Anolis sagrei: one gene and its partners. Each later gene encodes a partner of the first gene's protein in a complex. Links are inferred from orthologs where the notes say so. Each region holds a gene or a part of one and is shown in the gene's direction. Other genes may lie near its edges. The genes, in order: MCM6, CDC45, GINS4 and GINS2.

What was found.
Region 2: MCM6 (region 1) and CDC45 share a complex: the UniProt entries of both Homo sapiens proteins name them as parts of the CMG helicase complex. The link is inferred for Anolis sagrei from reciprocal best matches to the Homo sapiens genes MCM6 and CDC45.
Region 3: MCM6 (region 1) and GINS4 share a complex: the UniProt entries of both Homo sapiens proteins name them as parts of the CMG helicase complex. The link is inferred for Anolis sagrei from reciprocal best matches to the Homo sapiens genes MCM6 and GINS4.
Region 4: MCM6 (region 1) and GINS2 share a complex: the UniProt entries of both Homo sapiens proteins name them as parts of the CMG helicase complex. The link is inferred for Anolis sagrei from reciprocal best matches to the Homo sapiens genes MCM6 and GINS2.

Annotation. Positions count from the first base shown.
Region 1 is NC_090021.1:213,785,201-213,792,498, forward strand, and holds the start of MCM6 (DNA replication licensing factor MCM6), read left to right. Parts: upstream 1-4,296; 5' UTR 4,297-4,340; coding exon 4,341-4,456; intron 4,457-4,890; coding exon 4,891-5,037; intron 5,038-6,246; coding exon 6,247-6,357; intron 6,358-7,298. UniProt on the Homo sapiens protein: Acts as a component of the MCM2-7 complex (MCM complex) which is the replicative helicase essential for 'once per cell cycle' DNA replication initiation and elongation in eukaryotic cells.
Region 2 is NC_090034.1:34,185,944-34,193,941, forward strand, and holds the start of CDC45 (cell division control protein 45 homolog), read left to right. Parts: upstream 1-4,983; 5' UTR 4,984-5,237; coding exon 5,238-5,291; intron 5,292-5,332; exon of another isoform or gene 5,333-6,020; coding exon of another isoform or gene 6,021-6,071; intron 6,072-7,998. Other genes in the region: UFD1 (ubiquitin recognition factor in ER-associated degradation protein 1), read right to left, coding at 814-946, 4,870-4,872. UniProt on the Homo sapiens protein: Required for initiation of chromosomal DNA replication. Core component of CDC45-MCM-GINS (CMG) helicase, the molecular machine that unwinds template DNA during replication, and around which the replisome is built.
Region 3 is NC_090027.1:4,071,025-4,078,463, forward strand, and holds the start of GINS4 (DNA replication complex GINS protein SLD5), read left to right. Parts: upstream 1-4,432; 5' UTR 4,433-4,479; coding exon 4,480-4,569; intron 4,570-5,163; coding exon 5,164-5,250; intron 5,251-7,439. UniProt on the Homo sapiens protein: Required for correct functioning of the GINS complex, a complex that plays an essential role in the initiation of DNA replication, and progression of DNA replication forks.
Region 4 is NC_090028.1:24,665,668-24,672,765, forward strand, and holds the start of GINS2 (DNA replication complex GINS protein PSF2), read left to right. Parts: upstream 1-4,094; 5' UTR 4,095-4,106; coding exon 4,107-4,232; intron 4,233-5,319; coding exon 5,320-5,434; intron 5,435-7,098. UniProt on the Homo sapiens protein: Required for correct functioning of the GINS complex, a complex that plays an essential role in the initiation of DNA replication, and progression of DNA replication forks.

The DNA of each region.
Region 1 (7,298 bases):
AGAAAAGAGCTCATGTGCCCCACAGAAGAACTTCAAAAAGCTAAAGTATGAAAATAGTTTGAAATACACGTGTGTTGCACTCCAGGCATGGAAACACCTATGACCACCGCGCCACACAAAAGTCCAGGAATATAAGCAAACAGTTTATTGTAAAACACATAAAAGCATATAAAAAGCAGGAATAAGAAAGGAAGATATATAATCCCAAAAGGTTTAGCAACAGGTGATAACCAAACAATAATCCAAATGTCTCATACAGTTCCAGAGGTGACAAAGTCCAGGAACAGCCAGTAATCACAGGTACAGTGTGAAGTCCACAAGCAAGAAGGTATAGCTAGTAAAAACTTGCACAGGAGTACATGAACAGGAACATAGAAAACTTCCAGGATATATTAAATCCAAAACCAAGAGTTAACTTGAACCAGGGAAGTCAGGCTTAGCTTCTCACTCTAACGCAGTGTTGCCTGAACTGCCCTTAAGGTAAACAACTTGTTTAATAGACACCCATAAAAGTGTCACATCCCCTGTAAATTTTCTCTACAACTTTCCCATGTAATCTCTCTGAACGACACAATCTATTTTTGGCTCTGATTTGTAAACAAAAACTTTTGTTGATCCCCATAGCTACAGGTGGTTTCTCCTGGAAACCCTCCTTATCATTCAGCTCTTCACTCAGTTCCTTATCTACTGATGCTACTTCTGGCTCTCCTGACTGGCTTTGTGGCCCTGCACTTTCCGAGCCAGTTTCCTCACAAAGAGAACCATCATTTCCCAGACTTGAGGGCCTATCACTTTGTGCCACAAGAAAGCTAACAATCCCCTCTAAATCATCAGTCCCTGGCTGATCTACAACAATGGGTTCTTTTAAAAAAATGCAACCCTATACACAACTGCTATTAACTTATTTAGGCCTAGACATGTATTACTGTGGGTTTCCTTATTTACCCCACTTGGACTTTCCTGCCCATCCTTTGTTGATTTCGGTTATATTTCAGATTAATATCCTTGCAGCAAGCTCCTGGTACCTTGAAAAACATCATTACATACTGATGCCACTCTTTAAAATGTCATTATATGTTCATTTATCTAGGAAGCTTGTCCTAGCTAGTATGAACATATGATATTATATAGTGAATAACTTACACAATGACTGAGCTGACTTTGCTCTCATTTGATCTCCTTTCTTTCTCCTATTAAAATCCCCATTTCCGTGCCCATCTGTTAATATTTTAGGAAAAAACCATTCTTGGGATCTTTTACAACAAAAGCATATTTCATTTATGTTCAACAAAGTAGATTATTTTTACTCTAACAAGCAACCTCCACAGTCTGACCCTACAAGTCCAGCTCTTTGGCTACTTTCACCCATCCTAATCGTTTAGCTTTTAGACCCCTCTCTATATACTCTGGACCCCAATATATACTAGCCAAGTTGTGTGGTAAATGCTGGCAAGGTGTGACGGAATCACATTAATTCAGAGAGAGAGAGAGAGAGAAGGAGATGTATAAAATTATATTTAATATATAATAAGTTAAACATCTAAAATAGACTGGCTTCCCAATCCACACATCCTATTGTGATATGAGAATTAAAATTCTGGTCTCCAGAGTCATAGTCCACCTCTAGCCACTGCTCTACGCTGTCACTCTATTTTATTTCACAGAGAAATTATGCATATTCTTTTTATTGCCTGTCCTAAATAGTAGGTATTTCCTGAGACATGAGGCCTTGATACAAAATGTGACAATAGGTGGCTGTATGTTTAGAGCCATGTCATTCTGATTTTCAGTGGCCACTGCTGTTAATTAAAAATCCTGAGGCAAGAGCTGGTGTGTGCAAATTGTAGAGACTTCGGAAGAGCTATCTGATCAAATGCTATTTAATATTTTGTGACAGAACTCTGTTACAGTTTTATTATACCTTGAAATAAAGGTGGAAGGAAACAAAAGTGTAGAAATTAAGGTCTGAAAAACCACGTGCTTAAGAAATCAGCTTAGCCAACAGACCAGCTGTGAATACTAAACCTTGACATAATCCCAGAAAAAAATAGAATTACTCTTGTTCTTAGTTGTGTTTAGGTTTACTAAGTGGATTATAAGCAGCTGATTACCACAGATTTATTTCTCTTAAATTCAGTTTCCAGGAAGAATGGTTTGTTCAGCTAATCCAACTGGAATCAATCAAATTCAATTACCTTTCCCCATACAGAGCTGGTAATATCGCTGGATAATAATCTTTTTTTTATTTCTGAATGCTTCATCCCAATAAAGTCATTGACTTTTATGCTGAAAGGCTTTTTGGAAAGTCATGATGCAGAACAAAATAATGTTATCGCAAAATTCTTGTCTTGTGTCTATTACTTTGTCACACAGAAGGGACAAATTCTACAAAGCAATATCTTTGTTACTTATACCAACTCTTGCAAAGGTGATAGACAGCCTGTACAAATGGTTCAAGAAGGGTGGTCCTTTCAGTAGGAACCTTTAAGTTGGACCATATTATTGGCTGCAATCCCCATTTGGTGAAACAATATACAGTTATGACAACATCAGATTGCAGTGGTGATATCATTTCACACCTGGCTACAGGGAAATGCTTCTGTAGTTTTCCAATGTCAGTGCTGCAAAAAAAATCTTGAAAATTAAAGATAAGGAAAAAGGGGGCCAGGTTGCCCTCGCCCATAAAAAAGACCATCATAGTTAAAGATTTTTGTTATATCTTAGTTAACAAAAATAATTAACAATGAAGATCTTTTTATGGAGGAAGGCAACCTGGCCACATTTTTCCTTGTCTTTAATTGGCAAGCTTTTTTTTTTTTTTTGGCAGCATTGACATTGGAAAACTACAGAAGCATTTCCCTGTAGCCAGATATGAAATGATAATATCTGCACTGCGATCTGATGTTGTCATAATTTTATATTGTTCAGCCAAATGGGGATTGCAGCCAAAAATATGGTCCAACTTAAAGGTTCCTACTGAAAGCAAAATGAAGCTACTCCATAATTTGCACAACCCTCTTTATGGATCAGGTTGTGGCGCAGCTGGTTGGGAGTCAGCTACATTAAAATCACTACTGGTCATGAGGTCAAGACCAGCCCGGGTAGAAGTAAGCTCCTGACCATTTGTCTAGCTTGCTGTTGACCTTTGCAGACTGAAAGACATTTGCATCTTTCAAGTAGGAAGTTTAGGTGCCGCTTATGCGGGGAGGGTAGTTTAACTAATTTACGATGCCATAAAAAATCTCCAGCAGCATGCAAATGAATAAGGAAGTACTCCATCGGTGTCACAAGTAGACAGTGAAGCGACAACTCCCCTGATAGCCGGAATTCGAAGCATACCCTGATGGAGCTGGAAAGTTAAATAGCCTCTGTGCGTCTGTCACCCCTTCGGGGTCAGAAGGGCGGGGTAGAAGTAAACCAAATAATAAATATGTTGTGTGTCTATGGCATTGAATGTTTGCCATGTATATGTGCATTGCGATCCGCCCTGAGTCCCTGCGGGGTGAAAAGGGCAGGAGCCCCCGGTGGCGCAGTGGGTTAAAGAGCTGAGCTGCTGAGCTTGTTGACTGAAAGGTCACAGGTTCAAACCCGGGAGCGGCGTGAGCTTCCGCTATTAGCCCCAGCTCCTGCCAACCTAGCAGTTTGAAAACATGCAAATGTGAGTAGATGAATAGATACCACTCTGGCAGGAAGGTAACAGTGCTCCATGCAGTCATGCTGGCCACATGACCTTGGAGGTGTCTATGGACAACGCTAGCTCTTCGGCTTAGAAATGGAGATGAGCACCACACCCCAGAGTTGGACACGACTGGACTTCCATGTCAGGGGAAACCTTTACCTACTGTAAATAAATAAATATGGGTTGTTATAGGTTTTTCGGGCTATGTGGCCATGTTCTAGAAGCATCCTCTCCTGACGTTTCGCCTGCATCTATGGCAAGCATCTTCAGATAAAATAAAATAAAAATGCTACACATTTGAGGCATAACAGGCCAGGAGGATTAAGTCAAGGGTTTTAATCTGCCTTTTTTGGTCAACCAGAAGCTAGCAGTTCGAAAGCAGCAATGTAGATCAATTGGAGGAGAGGTAAAAGGCGCCCGTGAAGACAGCACCATTCCCCCACCGTCTCCAATTCTTGTCCTCCGGCTTTGGGGAGGCCCCTTTAAGAAGAACGTCCACAGCCACCCCTCTTCTCTCCGCTTCCTGTTTCCTCTGGTTTGGCGCGAAAAAGTTGCCGGCGTAACATTCGAAAGGGGCGGGGCACCAGGCGCGGAGGCTTCTGATTGGGCGCGGCGCGGGTTGGTGGCGCGAAATCCCTTCCATTCTCCTGGTATTGGCGTGATGGACTTGGCGGCTGCAGGAGAGGCTGGTGCGGCGGCGGGCAACGCGGCGCTCAAGCAGATCCGCGATGAGGTGGCCGAGAAGTGCCAGAAGCTCTTCCAGGACTTCCTCGAGGAGTGAGTGGGCCCTCCCTGGTTTGGGGATCCTGGGAGCTGCAGTCCTCCAGTGCCTCTACCCCAGGTTTGGGCCAACTTGGGCCTTCCAGGTGTTTTGGACTTCCACTCCCACCATTCCTAACAGCCTCAGGCCCTTTCCTTTCCCCCCTCAGCCGCTTAAGCGGCTGAGGGGGGAAAGGAAGGGGCCTGAGGCTGTTAGGAATGGTGGGAGTGGAAGTCCAAAACACCTGGAAGGCCCAAGTTTGCCCAGGCCTGGGGTAGAGGCACCCCTAGTCTATGCTAGTTTGCTAGCATTCATTAAGCATTAGAGCTGCCTCAGTTGTCTGAATGGATCAGTTTCCCCCATTAATGCTTTGTTGTTTTTTCTTCTATACTTGCATTACATCTTGAAAATGTTTTTGCAAAGCTCTTCCCTGAAACACTGCCTTTTTCAGGTTCCAGGACAGTGATGGCGGAGTTAAATACTTGAGAGATGCCGAGGAGTTGATCCGCCCAGAGAGAAACACATTAATTGTAAGCTTTCAGGACCTGGAGCAGGCTAATCAGCAGCTTGCGACCACCATCCAGGAGGAGTTCTACAGGTGAGACTGTCCCAACTTCTTTATTGACCTGCTTTTTGTGTTATCACTAACTTTATCCAAGGTGTTAAGGAACTTGAAGTTAGTAATAGGTTTGTATCTGTGGGAGATACGTTACTGGACTTCTCATGGGAAAAAGCAAACACTACTGAAATGAACTACTTCTGTTGGATGTTGCCATAGAGTCATGCTGGAGGACAGAGGCCCCTTCCACACAGCTGAATAAAATCACACATTTTCCGCTTTGAACAGGAATATATGGCAGTGTAGACTCAGATAACCCAATTCAAAGCAGATATTGTGGGACTTTCTGGCTTGATATATATATATGGCTGTATGGAAGGGCCACAAGTATCAAGTGAGACTGTGGCAAAAAAAAAAAAAAAACAGAATCACCTAAAGCATTTCCTATAGAGGACATATTTTGGCAATGAAAAAAATCCCTTTTAATATTTTTTGCTTCCTTAAAGCAACTTTATGAGATTTTTTTTATTCTGATAAGTGAAATGTCAACTAATCAGGATTTTAAAAAAACAACAAAAAAACTTTGATTTCAGCACATTTTGTTCCAAAAACATGATGTAAAAATAAGATATAAACTATTTATTTATTTATCTCGTTATTTACTTGCAGTATTTATATTCTGCCCTTCTCACCCCGCAGGGGACTCTGGGCGGATATACATGGCAAACATTCAATGCCATAGACACACAACATATATAGACAGACACACAGAGGCTATATAACATTCCAGCTTTTTTCATGAGGGTATTCTGGCCACCACGGGAGCTGTTGCTTCAGGGTCCATTTGTGACACTGATGAAGTACTTCCTCATTCTTTGCATGCTTTGCATGGAGTCGTAAATTAGCCTCCCGCATAAGCGGTACCTAAATTTCCTACTTGACAGATGCAACTGTATTTCAGGCTGCAAAGGTTGACAGCAACCTACAAAATTTGTTGGAAGCTCACTCCGACTCGGGCTGGCTTCAGACTCATGACCTTTTGGTCAGTAGTGATCTTAATGCAGCTGACTCCCAGCCAGCTGTGCCACAGTCCCACCACAGTTCTTTTGAAGTCAAATACATTTGTTGGCTTGCTCATTTAAACTTTGCTAATAAGGTACACTCCCATGCACTTTGATGCCTTTTGAAGAAATTCTTAAGTCTAAAGCCAGAAAAGTTTGTATCACTAAAATCTTGCTTTCGTTTCAGAGTCTATCCTTACTTATGTCGAGCTGTAAGGACATTTGCCAGAGACCACGGAAATGTCCCTCCCAACAAGGACTTCTATGTGGCTTTTCAAGACCTGCCTTCTAGGCACAAGTAAGCATCTCTGAAGATAGTGAGCATGAAGTGTGGTTTCTATTGGGAAGATAAAAGTATTCAGCTTGGCAAGAAGATCCATTGTGAATGCTGGATCACAGTTCAAGGCCTCTGAACATATAGGGCACCAGAGCAGATTGTCCTATTGCTTTAGCTATGTGTGAGGTTTTTTTGTATAGCCTCTCTCTTGTTTATTAATTTTCATGAGTGCTGAGGGTTTTTTTGTTTGTTTTTTGTACATCTTATCTCTTATGTATCCTCCTGTATATTAGCTCCTCTTTTATGGTGGCATGGTTAATTCAAAAGGAGTGATGCCACCTCACGAAACTTTGGGGGCATAATTTCTTTTTTTATGGACAATGCTGGCTCTTCTGCTTAGAAATGGAGATGAGTACCACCCCCCAGATTTGGACTCGACTAGACTTAACGTCAAGGGGAAACTTTTACCTTTATCTTTATATATTCTTTGCCTAGTATTTTAGGGTTAGGTTAAGATCATATAACATTTTAAACTGAAAATATGTGACGACCATATAAGGTTCATAAATGTTTTCTCGTTACTGTGTATGTGAGTGAGAATATAAATGAAAGTCAACAACTCATGTTCTTTGGAACATTGGAACCATCACAGAGCAAAATTTTGTAGGTGTCATCAGGGGCATCTACACTGTAAAATTAGTACAATTTGACACCACTGTAACTGCCACAGTGCAATGCAATGGAACCATGGGAGTTGTAGTTTCCTGAGACAATCTTTGGCAGAGAAAAAAATCATATAAAACTACAACTCTCAGGACTCTATAGCACTGAGTCAGGGCAGTTCAAGTGGTGTCATACTGCATTATTTATTTCTTTTCTTTTTTTGTAGATGCACTTACAAATAATATTATCCACCAATGTAAGCACAGAAGATACCTTCTCATTCATAGCTAAAGAAAAAT
Region 2 (7,998 bases), on another chromosome or scaffold:
CAATGAAATGGGACGGTTGCATCATAAAAGCCCTATCACAAAGGAGCTTGACACAGCAGTATAATAAACACAACTCACTCTCCACTGACCATGTGATATGGCTTTCCAACCTGTATTTATGACTTATTGACACTTAAAATTAGACATCCTGGCTTCTCACCTTGTGCAACGAATAGTGTAGTTGACTTTTTCCTGCTTTATTTTGTTTTTCCTAGCATATACAGGGGGTTGTTTTCTATACAGTACCGTTTCATTTATCTAGGTCTGAAAAAATATATTATAAGCATTTTCTAGGTCCTCCAGCTCAACTCTATACTAGCCTTTTAAAAATATATATAGATTCATCAATGGTGAAGGAGCCACAAAAGAGAAGGGGGGGGAGGTATTATAATAATAAAGAAATAAAATATGTATAAGTAGATAAAAGGTGTGTAGTAGAGGTATATGAAGTATAAGTTATAATGGAAAGTTTAAAAATGATAAATATGCTTAAAGATGTCATAGATTTATTTTTCTTTTACTGTTGGTTTGTATATAATATGGTATACTCCCTTGTCTAAGATATTGTAAAAAGAGGGAAAAAAACTCTATACTAGTCTTGGGGCAAAAGTCCCTGTCCTTTAGGGCTCACTATTATCCACCTTTTCACGTATCCCCCGCAGAGATGGCAGGCAGTCTATATGTCTTTCAGTCCGCTCCTTCTTCCCAAAGTAACCACAAAGGTGACAAAAATGCTTTGCAGCTCATTGTTATTTTAGGTCCCATAAGAGAAGACCACTCCAGAGAGCATCCCAAAGAAAAACCAACACATACTTTTCCCTCCTTTCTCCACATCGGATCGGTCATTAGGCCCAGCAAGCATTGACACTGAGAAACAACGGTATTGAGTTGAGAAACGGTTCTGGAAGACTCGGGGAATCGGATGATCAAACATGTTGAAAGAAAACTGGGGAGAACAAAATAAGTTATAAGCCAAGGCATTCGAAGACGTGGGTGGCCTTTACACAGAACACGACAAGCCAAAGTGGTCAAGATACTGAGACAGAAAGAGAGAACTTTTGACCCCGAAAATGTCTCAGGCTATAACCCCCACAATTCCTTAACATGGCCATTGACAGGCGGGCTTCTGGGAGTTGTAGTCCAACACATTGTTGTAGTAGTAGGCCCCCTCCCTATTGGCATTTCGGAGGAAAGTGAAGACCTGGTTGTTCGAGCAGGCATTTGAATAGGCAGTGTAATGAACATAGGAATACAGAACAACGGATGAGATTGGATTGTGATTTTACTTGAGACGTTAATGAGACGTTATATTGATGTTTAACTGTTTATTATGTTATTATTGTATTCATTTTTTAACTGTTTTATGATGTTATGCATTGAATTTTTGCTATTGTTAACCGCTTTGAGTCACCCGAGGGCTGAGAAAAGCGGTATATAAATGAAGTAAATAAATAAATAAATAAATTGGAGGGGGATGCTAACAGTTTTCCATCCAGATAAAGCTTAATTGGACATCCTTCTTTCATGAGGTTGATGTGAGGCTCAAACCAGCAGACGGCGAATCAATATTGCATATTTAGCATTGTTGTGTGCCTTCAAGTCATTTCCAACATTGGACAAATTGGATTTTCTTAGTTCAGAGGGTTGACCATTGCCTTCCTCTTACATTGAGAAAGCACAAATTGCCCAAGGTCTCCCTTTGGGGTTCCATGGCCAAGCAAGGGATGCAGCCACACTGTAGAATTAATGCAGTTTGACTCCACCTGAATTACCCTGTCTCAATGCTATGAAATCACAGAAGTTGTTGTTTTGCAAGCTCTTTTACCTTCTCTGCAGGAGTGCTCATGCTACCCCAAAATTACAACTCCCAACAACTCCTGAGGTTGAGAGTTGGAAATGTTTATCCCACTCCTTTAGAAGATTCCTATCACATCCCACTGTTATTGTGAGATTATTCCACCTTAACTGCCATGTTAATATCATACAGAAGGATGTGATTTGCAGTTGAAGGAGGGGCATTGAGAAACCTCAGCTGGAGAGCTCTCAGGTCTTACTAAAAAGCAAGCCTTTGCATTCCAAAGGAAGTTGCCAAAGAGGAATCAAAGTGCTCTAAACATGTGGAGTGATAACAACCTTATGCCTTACCTGAGGAATGTCATTTTCCCCATTTGATGTTCTTGTAACCCAGCTGGAATTTAGAAACTGTACTTTTATTTACACTTGCATTTTATAAAGAAAATATATGTGCGTGCATATACATACATACATGTGTGTGCAAGTATCTGTATGTATATACACACATACATACACTGTATATACTCATGTATAAGTCAAGGACATGTTTGAGGGTAAAAATTATGGATTTTGATATGACCCATGGGTAAGTTGAGGGTTATTCTGTAGAGAGGGGAAAGCGCCAGTGCTGCCGCTACTATTTTCCCCTGCAGGACATTCAGTAAGTCTAGAAGCAGCTTGGCAGCCGAGAGTACAGGAGACTGGTGATTCTTTGAAGTTCCCCTGAGTTGGACCAAGTGTTTGCCTTTTGCCATCTTACTCAAAGAAGGGGGAGGTTCCTGTCTTGATCAGAGTTACAGTATGTACACAGACCTGTGGATAAGCCGACCCAGGTTTTTGGAGTTGATGTTCCGGCTCAAATTTCTAGATGAATACATCAATGTATAGTTCTCAAACATACTATATGGATACACATAATAATTAAAAATGTATAGAGATACACATAAGTCTATAAATGAGTCTATAATTCCCAAAGATACAATAAGTATATGAATAGTAATACTACTAACAAGAAAACATGTCCTCTGCCACCGAGCAATCCAATTTTTTAGTGTCAATAATATGGCTCAAAATTTCTAGATGTATACATTATATATAGACTTATACATGAGTCTATATATGAGTTTATAGTTGCCAAACATAGTAAAAGTAAGTATATGGATACATGTGAAACTGCCTTCTATTATCTCAGGCTATCTTTTCAAACAAAGAGGCCTAGGACTCAAAGCCAGGTTCCTTTTGGCATCCAAATATGTATGATGATGCTACCAAGGGACCACAGTTTTTGGTTCCATGTTCTAGCTCCAATTTCTAGACTTATACATGAGCCTATAGACTTGTACATGAGTTTATATACTGTATTGATGTGAGTCTAATGCGCCATCGACCCTAATGCGCACCTCAATTTTCAAAACCCTGAAATAAAAAAAGTATTTGCTGGCAGCACACTGTCATTTGGACAAAAAAGGTGTGCATTACTGTTGCTGCCTGTTTAGAATTCCTTCTTTCAAAGCAAAAGTGTTAGGACACCAAAGCTTCCAGCGACTGAGAGGAAACCCTTGGGGTGCATCTATGCTGTAGTATGAATGCATTTTAATTGCTTTGGTTCAATGCTATGAAGTCATGGCGGCTGTAATTTTCCAAGGTCTTGAGCCTTCTCTCCCAAAGAATGTGGATGCCTCATAAAACTACACCTGGAGGGAGGGAGAGCAAAAGTTGGTCCAGGTCTGGCCTATAGAGTATTATTATATTATTACATATATATAATTTTATTAGCATAGCACAATATTAGTATTATACATCATTATATTGTACTGTACCACTATGCTGCAGTATTATTAGTAATATTACATGCACTATATAATACAGACTTATTATATAATTATATCGTACTACATGATTATACCACAATATAATACACTATCAGTATATTATACTATTGGTATTTTACAATACATTGTACTATATTATAAGTTTTAGTATATACAATATACAATATATTATATTATAGCATTTTAAAGTATTATTACATTACAATGTAATTATTTCTACATATTATAATATTATATATATTGAGGGGCTCCAGAGTGATGCTGCAGGAGACATGATGTAGCTGTGATAATAATAATAACGTAATACACTTAATAATAATAATAATGTAATTAATAATGTAATTAATTATGTAATGCACTTAAACACAATCGGCGCTGACAAAATTACCATCTGCCAGCTGCAGAAGGCCACCTTACTGGGATCTGCACGCATTACTTGCCGATACATCACACATTCCTAAACACTTGGGAAGTGTTCGACGTGTGATCCAATACAACAGTCTGCAGACTGTCTGCTGTGGACTGATCTTGTTGTGTTTCAAATAATACAATATCATAGAATCATAGAGTTGGAAGAGACCCTGTGGGCCATCCAGTCCAATCCCCTGCCAAGAAGCAGGAAAATAGCATTCAAAACATCCCTGACAGATGGCCATCCAGACATCTAATACCAATTAAATACTAATGGCTGCTAAATACTACTGTTAGTCATTTGATTCTAATATATTAAATATAATTACAACTTATCATCTATAATAATATATGATATACTGTTTTGTTATTGTATATTTAAAGTTGTCATGTTTTGTATTGTGAGTCCCTTTGAGTCTCTGTATGGAGAGATAATGCAGGATATAAAGAATCTAGAGTAGGCCTTGATCCCCAGAGTCCTGTCAAGAACACAAGGCTTGCGATGGAGGCTGCCTCCACCCCCCAAAGAGTAAGAAGAAGAGTCAAGAAGACCCCACCAATGTCCCTGTCACCAGAAACAAGGCTTCTTCAACCACAGGAGCCCTGTCCTGCCCTCCACTGTGGCTCCCAAGCAAAGCCAAGTCTCCCCAAGGCAGCCTCGGGCGGCAGAGGCCGAGGGGGCGGCAGCAATGGCGGCTTCCTTCACTTTTCTCAGCAGGAGGCCTATCCCAGAGCCGCCGCCCCCTCCCAAGCCAGTTCTGAAGTCACAATGCAGGCGACGGGGCAGGGAGGCTCCGGAAAAGCCTCAGGGCCTAGGCCTCAAAGCCCTTACCATGGCGGCCTAGAGTTCCTCCTTTGCCTCTCTTGCTTCGGACCCGACCAAGGCCTCCGCGCCGCCGCTTGTCGCTCGCCTCACCGCCAGGGACACCTTCAACAACTCCGGCTCCACATGAAAGACCCGCGAAAACGCCTTCACTTTCGAAGGAATGTTTAGGAAGACATCGAAGGCCGTCAAGGCCTTGCAAAGTGGTGTTTTGGAATTCGTAACTACATGTCCCAGAATGCGCTTCGAGGCCTCTTCCGCCTTGGAAGCAAAAGGGGCGGGGTTTCGGGCAACTCCTCTGAGGACAACATAGGTTGGGCTTGGGTCTTCTTCACCTGAGCTGAGCTGAGCTGAGCGGGCCGGGCCGACCCGCCCCTATGCCTCGCCGCCAAGTCATCTCAGTCCCCGAAGGAGTCTCATCACTTCCGGCTGTGAGTCGCCATTATTTCCCCCCCCCTCCTCCGTGAGAGAGGAAAGTGCTCCGCGTCACTCCTAATCCGCGGAATCAAATCCTACATTTCCTGCTCGAAACTGGGGGTTCTTCCAGGCTGCCCTTTATTCCAGGATCTGACCCCAGATTACCTGTTTCCAAGTGGAGTATATGCGGCCCCACTGCCAGATAACCTGGGAGAAACAGATAATCTGGGATCAGATCCTGGGATATAGGGGCAGTGTGGAAGGGCCCTGGAATATCTAGCAGTGTGGGCTCCGAGAACTCAGGGCCCTTCCACACAGCCACATAATCCAGAATATCAATGCAGAAAATCCCATAATATCTGCTTTGATCTGGGTTATCTGAGCCCACACTGCCATATATCCCAGTTCAAAGGAGATGATTGGATTCAGCTGTGTGGAAGGGGCCGAAGTCAAGGGCCCTTGGCTGTTGTGCGGCGACTGAGCAAATGTTCCGGCTGACTATGCCCAGGTGGTGATTGGTGTCAGGTACCGGGGCGGGCCCGCTTCGAACTTGTCCAATGAAGATCACGGAAAGAGAGAGAGAGAGGAGACAGCCCATTGGTCGAGGCCCGGAGCGTGGCGGCCAATAGGGAAAGGGAAAGGTTTTGGCGCCTTCCTTTGAGCGGGGAAGACAGCTTCCCGAGGAGTTTTGTCGCCCGACGCCATTGCCGCCTTCCTGTCAGCGGGTTCTTCGGCCTTTGAGCATGTTCTTAACGGACTTCCGCAAAGAGTTCTACGAGGTGGTTGTGAACCAGGTGAGCGGGAGCTTTTCTCCGGGAGTCTGCCGCCGCTCCCTCTTTGAGGCGCGGCCATGATGGAGGAGGAAGGCCTCCGCCCGCTCTCAGGAGCCCAGGGAGCTCCCTCAGGGGGACTCCCACTCTCAGAAGCTGCGAGGGACTCGGGGCAACCATTTTCTTGTCCTAATTAGAAACTTACCCATTGTAGTGCTCATTACTGCCACTCAATCAACAAACTGCGAATGATCAAAGTTTTAGCAGTTCCCACACTTGAATAACACCAGCACTCCACTTCTGTAGGGATTGAAGTGGAGGCTTTTCAACAGAGCCTGGATGGCCATCTCTCAGGCATGCTTTGATGGTGTCCTCCTGCCTGGCTGAAGGGGGTTGGACTGGATGCCCTTTGGGGTTCTCTAGAGAAATATAGACTGCTTGGGAATCCATTGGAGTCTCCTTCTCTGGAGATTTTTGAACTAAGGCTGGGTGGCCATCCAGGGCTGCTATGAGTGTGCCTTTCTGCCTGGCTATTTATTTTTATTTATTGTGTCAGAAGTGAATTGAGAATACAGTTATAATGTATTTTAAATTAAAAACACAAAGTTAAAAACTTGGCATTATACAAGATTTCATTTCACCAGAAGATGGCCACTTGGAGAGCCTCTGGTTTCACTGTAAGAAGGTGCATGTTTTTGGAAAACACCATTTGGAGATCATAACTTTAAAAAAGCATGACCTTTTGGGAAGAGCCAAAAATCCCTTTGTTTAGAATCTTCTCTTGTGGTGTACAACCAGATGTAATTGTGCTAGGCAATGATTGCAGCTGTTAGACCGAATAACCTGTTATCTCTGATCTGTTAGGAAAATAGATATTTTTGCCAGTTCATAAAACAGCAGAACTTTAGAAGTGTTTTTAGTTGTCCATATATATATATACTCTCCCATAAAACAACTTGTTTTATATCATGCACTCAAAAGACAAAAATTAAGTAGACTTTGATAAAAATAACATATTTGGTTTACTCACAACCTTCATTCATTCAGCATACCTTAGTCCAATCGGCCAGGACAATCTTACAGCAAAAACAGCAAGCAAGTGTGTGATCTGAGGTCTGAAATAGTCTGTAGTCATGAAGTAGTCTGTTTCTTTGCTATAGTGATAATGTGGTTTGCAGCCCTTTTCTAGGAACCATAGAGTAAATGAAGCTACATGCCCAGAACATACATACAAACAGTAAGCAACAGGTTCATAGATAAACATTACTAGAGAAGGCTTGAAGAAGGTTGTCATTTCCAGAACATGTGGTGGGGCACAGACTGCATTGTAGTCAGTGATCTATGGTTTGTTCTTCTCCACACTTGCATGTTGTGGATTCAACTTCATGGCCCCATTTCTTAAGATTGGCTCTGCATCTCGTGGTGCCAGAGTGCAGTCTGTTCAGCGCCTTTCAAGTCGCCTAGTCTTCTGTGTGCCCAGGAGGGAATCTCTCATCCAGTCTCAGCCACTGATTGAGGTTCTGGGTTTTAGCCTGCCACTTTTCAACTCTTGCTTTCTCAGGTGTTCCTGTGAGTGCGTCTGTAGATCTTAGAAAGCTATTTCTTGATTTAATGCATTGGTATGCTGGCTGGTATCTGTACAGAAGATGGGCCAGGGATGTCACTGCCTTGGTCCTTTCATTATTGGCTGCTACTTCCCAACAGATGTCAGGTGGTGCAATACCAGCTAAATAGTATAGTTTCTCCAGTGGTGTAGGGCATAGACATCTTGTGGTAATGTGGTATGTCTCATTAAGACTCACATCCACTGTTTTAACATATTCCACACTAGGCATACGTATTCAGTGGCAGAGTAGCAAAACACAAGGGCAGGTGTCTTCACTGTGTCTGGTTGTGATCTCCAGGTTGTGCCAGTCAGCTTTTGTGGGATATTATTTCTAGCGCCCACTTT
Region 3 (7,439 bases), on another chromosome or scaffold:
GGGTTGGGGGGCTTCAGTCCCCCCCCCCCCGAAATTCTGATGGTGGTCCACGAGAAGGCCTTACTGGTGCATTATTTAAATTGTTATGTTTATTCATATCCTGATCTGATCACCATACTCAATATATCCCATATGCATGGGGGGTATTGGGGTAATGATACAAAAGGTTTGCTGGACCCTCTTTCACTCAGACTCAGCCCCCCCGAACCAAACTCAGCCCCCCCCCCCTCAAAACAAAATCCTGGCTACGGGCCTGGCCTCCCCAGTAGATCTTAAATTATGAGGCCTCTTATAATACTATTCTTCCCTCCAAGTATATTATTATATTATAGTATTATATTTTATTATTATTATTCCCTCCAATATATTATTATTGGAGCCCCCGGTGGCGCAGTGGGTTAAAGCACTGAGCTGCTGAGCTTGTTGATCGAAAGGTCGCAGGTTCGATTCCGAGGAGCGGCGTGAGCTTCCGCTGTCAGCCCTAGCTTCTGCCAACCTAGCAGTTCGAAAACATGCAAATGTGAGTAGATCAATTATTATTATTATTATTATTATTATTATTATTAACTTTATTTGTACCCCGCTAGCATCTCCCGAAGGACTCGATGCGGCTTACACGGGCCGAAGCCTCAAAACACAATACAATAGAAAACATAACACAACAATAAACAAAGCAAATCAAACAATTAAGCAAAGTAACCACAATGACAATACATCAATACATCAAGACACTATTAAAACTGGTTCGGCCGGCGCAATGGGGTACAGGGTTAAAAGTGCTGAGATGGCAGGAGGAACGTAGGATTAAAAGTGCGGTGTGCAGCAACATTGGTTGTGCTAAAGTGCTTCTAGGACTTGGGATGGGGATTCCTAATCTGAGAAGGCACATCGGAACAGCCAAGTTTTTAGGTTCCTTCTGAAAACTGCTAGAGTAGGGGCCTGACGAAGCTCTTTTGGAAGGGCATTCCAAAGTCGGGGGGCCGCCACAGAGAAAGCCCTGTCCCGTGTCCCCACCAAGCGCGCTTGCGACGTAGGTGGGATCACGAGCAGGGCCTCCCCAGATGACCGGAGCGAGCGTGTGGGTTCATAAATGGAGATGCGGTACCTAGATCAATAGATACCGCTCCGGCGGGAAGGTAACGGCGCTCCATGCAGTCATGCCGGCCACATGACCTTGGACAGCGCTGGCTCTTCGGCTTAGAAATGGAGATGAGCACCACACCCCAGAGTCAGACATGACTGGACTTAATGTCAGGGGACTACCTTTACCTTTACCTATATTATTATTATTATTAAGAAACTGCAACTCGCTTCTGGTGTGAGAGAATTGGCCGTCTGCAAGGACGTTACCCAAGGGATGTTACCTGGATGTTTGGATGGCGAGCAAGTGGGTGATTCCGTCCATTTTTTTTTGTTGTGTCATCATCATCATCATCATTTAATAACTTATTAATCGCCCTCCATCCGAGAATGCTATGGGCGATTTAGAGCTAAATTACAAAAGATAAAATACATACATACAAAAATTAAAAATCAACAGAGATCGAATGCTCTAGTGAAAAGCCAGGTGTCTGAAGTGCTAGAGTAAAAGGCCCTAAGTCACGCATGGCTCTCATGTAGGGCGGCAAGGAATGCCACAATAAGGCAGGAGGGGCAGAAAGAGAGAAAGCCCACCTGCGCCTGGTCCTTTCCAAGGGCACTTCTCTAGGACCCGGGATATGGAGTAAGTCACGTTGGGATGGTCGTTGCGACCTCCGATGATGGGAGAAGGAGAGGCGGTCCCTAAGGTACGATGGACCCTGGCCGTAAAGAGCTTTAAAGGTCAGAGCTAGCATCTTATATAGACCACGGTAATTGGTTGGAAGCCAATGCAAATGCCGCAACACTGGTGTGATATGGCATTATTTCATGGGCGTTCTTGTGAGTAGCCTGGCTGCCACATTCTGAACAATACGGAGCTTTCGGGTCGTAGACATCAGAAGGCCCACATACAGGGCGTTGCAATAGTCCAGCCTAAATGTGACCGTAGCATGGATGACCATTGCCAGAGCCTCGCCAGATAGGGAGGGTGCCAGTTGCCTCGCTTGTCGTAGATGGAAAAAGGCCTGTTTAGTGGCAGCAGCGACCTGAGCTTCCATTGTCAGCTGTGAATCCAGGATGACACCTAAGCTCTTAAGAGTGGTCGATGGAGAGAGGGCGGCACCATCGAAGGTGGGCAACGGAGGAGTCAGACCTGCCGGGCGGCCATGCCAGGGAATCTCAGTCTTCGCCGGGTTCACCTTCAGTCTGCTAGCACGTAGCCAGTTCGACAGAGCTTCCAGACATCGGGTGAAATTGTCTGGAATTGACGTTGCTCCAGACTCCAGGCGCAGAAGGAGTTGGGTATCGTCTGCATATTGGTAGCAGTCCAGGCCGAAACTCCCAGTCAAGGAGTGACTTGAGAAACTGCAAGTCGCTTCTGGTGTGAGAGAATTGGCCATCTGCAAGGACTTTACCCAAGGGATGTTACCTGGATGTTTGGATGGCCAGCAAGTAGGTAATTCCTTCCAATTTTTTTTGTCATGTCAGGAGTGACTTGAGAAACTGCAAGTCGCTTCTGTTGTGAGAGAATTGGCCGTCTGCAAGGACGTTGCCCAGGGGATGCCCGGATGAATTGATGTTTTTATCATCCTTGTGGGAGGCTTCTTTCATGTCCCCGTATGAGGAGCTGGAGCTGATAGAGGGAGCTCATCCGCCTCTCCCCGGATTCAAACCTGTGACCTGTTGGTCTTCAGTCCTGCCGGCACAGGGGTTTAACCCACTGTGCCACCAGGGGCTCCTTTCCTTTAAGTAAGGAGGGAGGATGCCAATCTAATCTCGCTGGGGAGCAAATTCCACAAGCAGAGGGTCACCACCGAGAAGGCCCTGTCCCTCGTCCCCACCAGATGCGTTTGAGACGCTGGTGGGACCGAGAGCAGGGCCTCCCCAGTAGATCTTAAATTATGAGGCCTCTTATAATAAGGAGGCTGTCCAGGTCCTGAACCGGTCCCTGGCCGCTGTGACGGTCTGGATGAGGGCGAACAAATTGAAATTGAATCCAGACAAGACAGAGGTACTCCTGGTCAGTCACAAGGCCGAACAGGGCATAGGGTTACAGCCTGTGTTGGATGGGGCCGCACTCCCCCTGAAGACGCAGGTTCCCAGCTTGGGTGTGACCCTGGACTCATCACTGAGCCTGGAACCCCAGGTTTCGGCGGTGACCAGGGGAGCATTTGCACAGCTAAAGCTTGTGCGCCAGCTGCGCCCATACCTTGGGAAGTCTGACTTGGCCACGGTAGTCCACGCTCTGGTTACATCCCGTTTAGACTACTGCAACGCTCTCTACGTGGGGTTGCCTTTGAAGACAGCTCGGAAGCTCCAACTAGTCCAACGCTCGGCAGCCATGATTTTAACAGGAGCGGAGTGCAGGGAGCATACAACCCCCCTGTTGCGCCAACTCCACTGGCTACCGATCTGCTACCGGGCTGAATTCAAAGTGCTGGCGTTGGCCTTGAAAGCCCCAAACGGTTCCGGCCCTAGCTACCTATCTGACCGCATCTCTGCCTATGAACCCACCAGGACTTTGAGATCTTCCGGGGAGACCCTGCTCTCGATCCCGCCTGCTTCTCAAGCTCGGCTGGCGGGGACGAGAGATAGGGCCTTCTCGGTGGTGGCTCCTCGGCTGTGGAACGCCCTTCCTACGGACATTAGACTAGCACCATCTCTAATGGTATTCCGCAAAAAGGTGAAGACCTGGATGTTTGTGCAGGCGTTTGAGTAATTTAGTGCAATCTGGTAATGGAACATAGGAATGGAACAATGGACGACGAATCTGGACTACGCTTGGATGAGGAGAAGATTGGGTACGGTTGTGTTTTGTAATAATTGTGCATTGTAATTGCTTATTGGTAATTTATGGATAATGTGTTAAGTCAATTGTTATATGTTGTATGGAACCACTGCTGTTTCTACTGTTTTTACTGTTTGTGAACCGCTGTGAGTCGCCTTCGGGCTTGAGATACAGCCGTATAGAAGCAAAGTAAGTAAGTAAGTAAATAAATAAATAATAATACTATTCTTCCCTCCAAGTATATTATTATTATTATATTATAGTATTATATTTTATTATTATTATTCTCTCCAGTATATTATTATTATTATTATTATTATTATTATTATTGAGAAACTGCAAGTCGCTTCTGGTGTGAGAGAATTGGCCGTCTGCAAGGACGTTACCCGGATGTTTGGATGGCCAGCAAGTGGGTGATTCCGGCCTTGACATATTTACATTGTCCGGCTCCTTTAAGAATGTGAAGGGGCGGGGCCGAGAGTCATGTTGGCGCGCAATATTCATAAGTAGGCGGGGCCAGTGCCGTTCTTTCTTTCCTCAGCGTCGCTGACGTCAGCACACCTAATTAGAATCCGTGGCGGGAAAGTGTTGGGCTTCCCTTTGGCGCCAACATGGCCGAGGCGGAGGAGGAAGCCGGGCTGGAGTCAGAGGGCGAGGAAGTGGTGCTCACCCCGGCCCAGCTCATCCAACACCTGGAGCAGGTGAGCCCAGGCGGCCCTTGGGGGAACTACAACTCCCAGGACACTTCCCCTTCAATTATGGCAGGCCCAGGACCCCCCTCCTCCAACCCAATCACCTCCCCAAATGTGGCCACTTTATTTGACTGTCTACCATGAGCTTCCTCATCAGTGGGACATGCTGTTTGGGAATACTACAACTCCCAGAATCCCCTCTCCCATCAGCATTTTTTTGAAACACACTGCAACTCCCACAATTCCCCATCCAACTCCCAGAATCCCTCCCATAACTTATTTAGATGGAGTAGAACTCTGTTTGGGAATACTACAACTCCCAGAATCCCCCCCATCAGCAATTTTTTTTGCCATAGATGTAGGAGAAACGTCAGGAGAGAATGCCTCTAGATCATGGGCATATAGCCCGAAAAAACCTACAACAACCCTATATTATGATTGTTGTTATTATTATTTTTGTTTGAATGGAATGCAATTCCCAAAAGCAACCCCTACCCCCAACAGCATGGCTGGTTATTTAGGCACACTACAACTCCCAGAATCCTTCCCACCGGTGTCTCTCATCATCTGGGCCATCTCCAAGGTTTTGCTGTCTCTTTCCAGGCTTGGATGAATGAGAAGTTTTCCCCTGAGCTGCTGGAGAGCAAGTCGGAAATCGTGGAGTGCGTCATTGAGCAGCTGGAGCACATGGTGAGAGAGATGACAAGGTTCATAAAAACACACAGGTGTAAATGGCCAGCTACGTTGCACCATATTATTATCATTATTATTATTATTATTATTATTATTATTATTATTATTACTAGCTGTATCCTGGCCATGTGTTGCTGTGGCCTAGTCTGGTGGAGCAGCTGTTGCAATCTATCCAGGCATATAGGCTTCCTCTTTCGTAAGAACATCTTTCCTGTGTTATTATTATTTACTAAATATAATTATATTTATTCATATATATATATTCATCTCTTAAGTGAGACTATTTCCTATGCAAGTGTGGAGCTGCGGTCCCAATCTATCTGGACAAATAGCCTTCCTTTTTTGTAGCAACGTCCTTCCTGTATTATTATTATTATTATAATTATTATTATTATTTACTAAATGCAATTATATTTCCTTGTATTTATATTCCTCTCTTAAGTGATATTTTTCTCCCATGCAAGTGTGGAGCTGCTGTCCCAATCTATCCGGGCAAATAGCCTTCCTCTTTTGTAGCAACATCCTTCCTGTATTATTATTATTATTATTATTATTATTATTATTTACTCAATTTAATTATATTTCCTTGTATTTATAGGCCTCTCTTAAGTGAGATTTCCTCCTATGCAAGTGTGGAACTGCTGTCCCAATTTATCCAGCAAATAGCCTTCCTCTTCTGTAGGAACGTCCTTCCTGTATTATTATTATTATTATTATTATTATTATTTACTAAATGTAATTCTATTTCCTTGTATTATATTCCTCTCTTAAGTGAGGTTTTCTCCTATGCAAGTGTGGAGCTGCTGTCCCAATCTATCCAGGCAAATAGGGTTCCTCTTTTGTAGCAACGTCCTTCCTGTATTATTATTATTATTATTATTATTATTATTATTATTTACTATATTTAATTATATTTCCTTGTATTTATATTCCTCTCTTAAGTGAGCGTTCTTCCTATGCAAGTGTGGAGCTGCTGTCCCAATCTATCCAGGCAAATAGGGTTCCTCTTTTGTAGCAACGTCCTTCCTGTATTATTATTATTATTATTATTATTATTATTATTATTTACTATATTTAATTATATTTCCTTGTATTTATATTCCTCTCTTAAGTGAGCGTTCTTCCTATGCAAGTGTGGAGCTGCTGTCCCAATCTATCCAGGCAAATAGGGTTCCTCTTTTGTAGCAACGTCCTTCCTGTATTATTATTATTATTATTATTATTATTATTATTATTATTATTTACTATATTTAATTATATTTCCTTGTATTTATATTCCTCTCTTAAGTGAGCGTTCTTCCTATGCAAGTGTGGAGCTGCTGTCCCAATCTATCCAGGCAAATAGCCTTCCTTTTCTGTAGGAACGTCCTTCCTGTATCATTATTATTATTATTATTAGTGGTATTATTTACTCAATTTGATTATATTTCCTTGTATTTATATTCCTCTCCTCAGTGAGATTTTCTCCTATGCAAGTGTGGAGATGCTCTTGCAATCTATCCAGGCAAATAGGCTTCCTCTTTTGTTGCAATGTCCTTTCTGTATTATTATTACTATTATTTACTAAATTTAATTATATTTCCTTGTATTTTTATTCCTCTCTTAAGTGAGATTTTCTCCTATGCAAGTGTGAAGCTGCTGTCCCAATCTCTCCGGGCAAATAGGCTTCCTCTTTTGTAAGAACATCCTTCCTATATTGTTATTATTATTGTTATTATTATTATTATTATTATTATTATTTACTAAACTTAATTATATTTCCTTGTATTTACATTAATCTCTTAAGTGAGATTTCCTCCTATGCAAGTGTGGAGTTGCTGTCCCAATCTATCTGGGCAAATAGCCTTTTTCTTTTGTAGCAATGTCCTTCCTATATTATTATTGTTATTATTATTATTATTTACTAAATTTTTCTTGTATTTATATTCCTCTCTTAAGTGAGATTTTCTCCTATGCAAGTGTGAGATGCTGTCCCAATCTATCCGGGCAAATAGGCTTCCTCTTTTGTAGGAACGTCCTTCCTGTATTATTATTATTATTATTATTATTATTATTTACTAAATGTAATTCTATTTCCTTGTATTATATTCCTCTCTTACGTGAGGTTTTCTCCTATGCAAGTGTGGAGCTGCTATCCCAATCTATCCAGGCAAATAGGGTTCCTCTTTTGTAGCAACGTCCTTGCT
Region 4 (7,098 bases), on another chromosome or scaffold:
AGGGAATAAATATCTCAACTAGCCATAAAGATCCTTTGAAACCTCAACATCTTCTCAGGCTTAACCAACCGCCATGGACAAAACGTACATTCTTTGTATTAGGCATTATTGCTGCAGATGGAATGATGGCTGGAATGAGCATCAGATTACTGTATAATGTATTGTTGAAGGCTTTCATAGCCAGAATCATTGGGTTGTGCGTTTTCCAGGCTGTATGGCCATGTTCCAGAAGCATTCTCTCCTGATGTTTTGCCTGCATCTATGGTGGGCATCTTTAGAGGACCTCCTCTTTAGAGGACCTCACAACCTCTGAGGATGCCTGCCGTAGATGCAGATGAAACATCAGGAGAGAATGCTTCCAGAATATGGCCATACAGACTGGAAAACTCACAACAATCCAGATTACTGTATACTTGATCCATCACTATCAAACTGAATGCGGTTTCCTATGTCACTTTTTTTTGTATAAGAATTGAAATCCTTGCACTCTCTTTGGCCATTTCTCCCCAATTATATTTCTGCTAGATTTGCCCCCTCCTAAAAAAAAAGCCTGAAAGTTTGATTCCAACCTTAGCATTGATTCTATCCATTGCTGGACTGGCATGTTTTATTGTCATTGGAAATAATAATGTTTTCCAAGTCTTGGGAATATTTATAAAGCATCATGATTTGTTATGCATTTAGAATGTCCTGTTTTTTTGTGAAATATTTTATTATTTTATATTATTTTATTTATTTACTAACGGGTCCCTGGCGTTGCCCGGGGTATTTTAAAATGTCATTTTGTAAAATTGCACAAAATGCATAAGGTTGTAGGTTAACTGCAACAGACATCATGCCAACTGATTGAGAATTTTTATTTTATTTTATTTATTTCAAACAATTCTCAATCCCCAAGGGGGGACTCAGGGCGGCTTACGCCGGCAACAATTCGATGCCAACACACAATATAGCAAGAGAACACGATTAAAACATTGATTAAAACATTAAATATAAATAGGCAGTTAAAACATTATTAACAATAATATGGGCACATCCAAAATAGATTCAACATTCAGGGACTTAGTTCATTATCAGTTCACTTACTTAGGCGATCCCTCGTTTTCCGAGGAGGATTGTCTTCCAGTGTTCTTGTGGGTCCGTATGTGGCTGTGGAGCCCTATTCTTGCTCTGCATCTTCTTCCGCACTGAGGGCATTGGTTTCCAGGCGGAAGGCGGTCTCAGTCGGGGTTGGCTTGACGCGCCTTCCTCTTGGCACGCGTCTCCCTTTCGCCCTCTTCAAATTCTGCAGCACTGCTGGTCACAGTTGACCTCCAGCTGGAGCAGTCAAGGGCCAGGGCTGCCCAGTTCTCAGTGTCTATGCCGGAGTTTTTAAGGTTGGCTTTGAGCCCGTCTTTAAATCTCTTTTCTTGTCCACCAACATTCTGTTTTCCGTTCTAAGCCTGCTGTCCAAATGCCTGGTCCCACAACCACGATTTGAGCTTTTTCCTGAAGGAAAGGAGAGATGGCACCAACCTAATTTCACTGGGGAGTGAGTTCACAGGCGGAGGCCCACCACCAAGAAGGCCGTGTTGCACAAAGCGTGTTTTAGCCAAGTCCCATGCAAAAGACACACAAACAAGAGGGAAAAAGGAACATAAAAACTTTACTCTTAGCAGCAGAGGTGGAGCCCCCGGTGGCACAGTGGGTTATTGATTGATTTATTTAAAACACTTATATTCCGCCCTTCTCACCCCGAAGGGGACTCAGAGCGGAGCACAGCATATACATGGCAAACATTCAATGCCTGGGTACAATACATAAACATTAAAAAACATTTATCTAAATATTAAAATACACCATTTAAAATAACACAATTTAAAACCGTCCTAGCCATCCGCATCAAATCCAATTGGCTCTGTCATCTTTCCCATTGTCGCTTCATTGTCCTGTCCCGAAAGCTTGGTCCCACAGCCAAGTTTTTACCATCCTTTTAAAGGACAGGAGGGAGAGGCCGACCTGATCTCACCAGGAAGGGAGTTCCATAGCTGGGGAGCAATCACCGAGAAGGCCCTGTCCCTTGTCCCCACCAATCGCGCCTTTGACAATGGCGGGACGGAAAGCAGGGCCTCCCCGGAGGATCTTAATCTCTGCGATGGTAGAGGGAGATGCGTTTGGACAGGTAATTTGGGCCAGGGCCGTTTAGGGCTTTAAAGGCCAAAGCCAGCACTTTGAATTGTGCCTGGTAGTAAACTGGCAGCCAGTGGAGTTGGCGTAACATGGGAGTTGTATGCTCCCTGTATGCCACCCCAGTTATTAACCTGGCTGCCTCTCGTTGGACTATTTGAAGCTTCCGAGCAGTCTTCAAAGGCAACCCCACATGGAGTGTGTTGCAGTAGTCTATTCTAGATGTAACGAGAGCGTGGACCACCGTGGCCAAGTCTGACTTCCCAAGGTACGGGTGCAGCTGGCACACAAGTTTTAATTGTGTGAACGCTCCCCTGGCCACCGCCGAGACCTGGGATTCCAGGCTCAGTGATGAATCCAGGAGAACTCCCAAGCTGCAAACCTGTGCCTTCAAGGGGAGTGTGACCCCATCCAGCACAGGTTACGACCCTATACCCTGTTCGGCCTTGCGACTGACCAGGAGGACCTCTGTCTTGTCTGGATTCAACTGAACCAAACTTGGCGTGAATGGTCAGTATGGCTAAATGTGAACACTGGTGGAGTTTGGGGAAAATAGACCTTGACGTTTGGGAATCTGAATCCCACCAATGATAGAATTGGGCCAATAGTAAAGAATAGGGAAGGGTTAAGGGAAAGGCAGTGGGGGAGGGGGTCATGCAATTTCCACATCAGTGGAGAGAGTCAGAAAAACTGGGATGTCTGTGGTGGAGGAAACACATAAAATCTAGGAGCAAATTCTCCTTGTATGATAGCCTTCATTTGGGTGAGGGACAGGATGGTGTTTGTGGAGGACATTGGCAGGGCTCTTGGACATGTTGATGGTACTCACTATAACCTTCAATGTCATTGGCCTTTGATGTCTCCTGAGTAGTGGGAGCTATAGTTTGCTGAGGCTGGACCTTGCCTGTGTTAGTGGACACCCCAGTCGCATACAAACACATACAGATTTTCTCTTTTATTGTGTGTATAGAAGATATTTTATTTTATATTTTATTATTTTATTTGATACTATTTTATATTTAATTTAATTTAAATTTAAATCTTATTTTATATTTTATATTTTTTAAATTTTTATTTTATATTATATTTATTATTTATTAATATTTATTTATTAATATTTATTTATATTTATATTATTTATATTTATTTATATTTATTTATATTTAATTCTATCTATCTATCTATCTATCTATCTATCTATCTATCTATCTATCTATCTATCTATCTATCTATCTATCTATCTATCTATTTTTAGAGGCATCCGAAATACAGACTAATCACCTCTAGAGCCAATAAAGTGCAACACAGCTTCAAAATATAGCGTTACCCAATCACAGCAAGCCTCCAAGGAATGAGCCAATCAGGAGACGGGGCGAGAGACCCTCCAACCAATAGACATCGCTCGTAGGCGGGGCTAAATTCCATGCGAGAAAATAAGACAACATAAGTTAAGCATTAGTGGGCGGGGTCTTCCCTGTTTCTCTGCCTCTCAACCAATGGCAGCTATGATTGTCTGCTGTAGGAGGAGATATGCAAAACATTGAGCTTCTCATTGGGTTAAGAGTGGGTAGTGGGCGGTACTTTCTCTTCCCATCCAATAGGAAACGCCAGGAAAAGCGGGAGGCTTTCAATATAAGCTAAAAGCAGCGGGTGGAGCAGTGGGCGGGATTTAGCTCTTGTTTTCTACCAATAAAAATCGCGCTTGAGGAAAACCCAGGCTTTTCATTGGATAGAAAAGTAGTCAATCACGTTATTCCCAACCAGTAGGATGTACGGCTTTCTCAGGCTTGGAATTAGCGCGGGAAAGAAAAGAAACCAATTCGCGGTGGGCGGGGTTGGCTTGAGTTTCCCAACCAATAGCAGGTGCGCGGGACCAAAGCGGGGGGTTTCATTGGGCTACGGAAATGATTGCTCGCGTTTCCGACCAATAGGAAGCGGAGATGCCCCAGGAGGCTGAGTTGAGGCTGCATTTTGCCATGGAGGCCGCGGAAGTGGAGTTCCTGGCCGAGCAAGAGCAGGTCACCATCATCCCCAACTTCAGCCTGGACCGGATCTACCTCATTGGGGTGAGTGAGGCGACGAGGAATTTAGGAAGTGTTAAAAGCCCCCCAGAGCTTGGCTTGAGCTAATATTGGCAGACTGCAGCTCCCATCATCCCCAGAAAGTGGTGTAGGAAGCGTTAAAAGCCCCCCAGAGCTTTGCCAGAGCTAATTTTGGCAAACTGCATCTCCCATCATCCCCAGACAGGGGTTTAGGGAGTGTTAAAAGGCCCCCAGAGCTTTGCCAGAGCTAATTTTGGCAGAATGCAGCTCCCATCATCCCCAGAAAGGGGTTTAGGAAGTGTTAAAAGCCACCCAGAGCTTTGCCAGAGCTAATTTTGGCAGACTGCAGCTTGGGGAGAAAGTTCCAGAGTCGGGGGGCCACCACAGAGAAGGCCCTGTCCCTCGTCCCCACCAATCGCGCTTGCGACGTGAGAAGGGCCTCTCCAGATGATCGAAAAGATCATGTGGGTTCGTATACAGAGATGCGGTAAAGCAGGTAGACGGGTCCCAAGCCGTTTAGGGCTTTGTAGGTAAGCACCTGCACCTTGAATTGGGACCGGAAAATGAATGGCAGCCAGTGGAGCTCCTTAAACAGGAGGGTTGACCTCTCCCTGTAAGGAGCAGCAGTTAACAACCTGGCTGCCGCCCATTGGGACCAGTTGGAATTTCCGGGCCGTTTTCAAGGGCAGCCCCACGTAGAGCGCATTACAGTAGTCCAATCTGGACTCTATCCAGCTTTTGCTGCTGCTCAGAAACTATACTAGCTGGCTCCGGAATGGCAGCTGTAGTGCACAAAAAGTAACTCCCAAGTTCTGGGGTTGATAATGAGGTATAGAATAGGCATGGGCAAACTTGGACCCTCCAGGTGTTTTGGACTTCAACTCCCACAATTCCTAACAGCCTACAGCTTTTGAAGTCCAAAGCACCTGGAGAGTCCAAGATTGCCTATGCGTAGTACAGAAAGAGCATGAGGGAGAACCTGCCGGAGGAAGACTTGTCCCTTATGCAAGATTTGTAATTCATATCTTGAATCCCTGGAAAACAGCTGCACATTCCAGGACGATGCCGGAACCAGACCTAAAGTGACTTCTTCATGCTTTCCCTTTTGTAGGGAGACCTAGGTCCCTTCAATCCTGGGCTTCCTGTGCAAGTTCCTCTCTGGCTGGCTATCAACCTAAAACAGAGGCAGAAGTGCCGCTTGATCCCTCCCGAATGGATGGATGTGGGTAAGGAAGACCTTTTCTCCTGTCTTAGGGTGTGTCTATTCCAGTCATGGGCAGATGTCAGTCCTCCAGGTGTTTTGGACTTTAACTCCCACCAGAGGCGGCCCTAGGTAATTTTCAACAGTAAGCAAACAGTATTTTGGCGCCGTCCCCCGTCCCCCCCAACCAATCATTGATATATATATTCTGTTCGTCGTGGGAGTTCTGTGTGCCATATTTGGTTCAATTTCATCATTGGTGGAGTTCAGAATGCTCTTTGATTGTAGGTGAACTATACATCCCAGTAACTACACTTGCCGCACTTGCTTCCTTGCCTGGCCCGCTTTGGGTCTGGAGGCGTGCCTGAAGACCCCGGCGTGTGCACCAAAAGTCACCTCTTCTCCTGACTTTCTCCTCAGCCATTGGAACCAAGAGAGAGAGAGGTGGAGATGCCTACCTTTCCTGAAGGTAGGCGCAAAAACAAAGGAGGGAGTGGAGGTAAGAGATACCTCCAGCCAGTGGGGCTCTCTCTCTCTCTCTCTTGGTCCCAATGGCTGAAGAGAAAGTCAAGAGAAGAGGCGACTTTTGGTGTGCACGCTGGGGTCTTCAGACACGCCTCCGGACCCGAAGCGGGCCAGACGAGGCGGCTCCGCCCCTTGGCCCACCCGTGGATTGGGGAGAGGAGAGGAGGCGGGTGGAGCGCCGGGGGATCGGGGAAGGGATCGAATGCAGAGAACGATTGAGCACCGGCTCTGCTCACGCACCCGGTGGCTGGGTAGAGCAGGAACGAGAGGGGCTAGGCGAGGCTCAAGGGCCCGGCCCCTTTGGGAAGAGGATCGCCCGGCAGCGAGGCAAGAAAGCCGAGGCTCCCCCGGACTGCTAGGGCTGTTGTGAGCTGAGGGGGCACTCCTCAAGTGGCGGTCGAGGGGCATTTACAGAGGCGCCTCTGCACCCCTGGCAAAAAAAAGTGTTCTGCGACCGCTTACTTCGCGAGCCGCCCCTGACTCCCACTATTCCTAACAGCCGGTAGTGTGATGAATAAATGATGTATGGATTGAATGGAATTGTATGAAAGCTGTATGGACCTATTGTTGGAAATAGCAGCCTTCTGCAAGCCCCCTATCCTAGTTTTTTGTTATGTATATGATTGTTAACCTATTTATTTATTTATTTCATATATTTATATCCCGCCCTTCTCCCCACAAGGGGGATTCAGCGCGGCCTCACATAAGCATCAGAGGATGCTAACAGCATAAATACCATAAAAATTACAATTCACAATAAAATCATTTTAAAACATTATACAACATCATCAGTAAAATCTATATAAATAAAAATGTAATGTTCGTTTGTGGGATTAACAGAACTCAAAACCCACTGGACGAATTGACACCAAATTTGGACACAAGACACCTAACAACCCAATGTATGTCCTTCACTCAAAAAATTGATTTTGTCATTTGGGAATTGTAGTTTCTAGGATTTATAGTTCACCTACAATCAAAGAGCACTGTGAACCCCACCAACGATGGAATTCAACCAAATGTGGCACACCGTTCTCCCATGACCAACAGAAAACACTGGAAGAGTTTGGTGGGCAGTGTTCTTTGGTTTTGGAGTTGTAGTTCACCTACATCCAGAGATCACTGTGGACTCAAACAATGATGGATCTGGACCAAACGCTACAC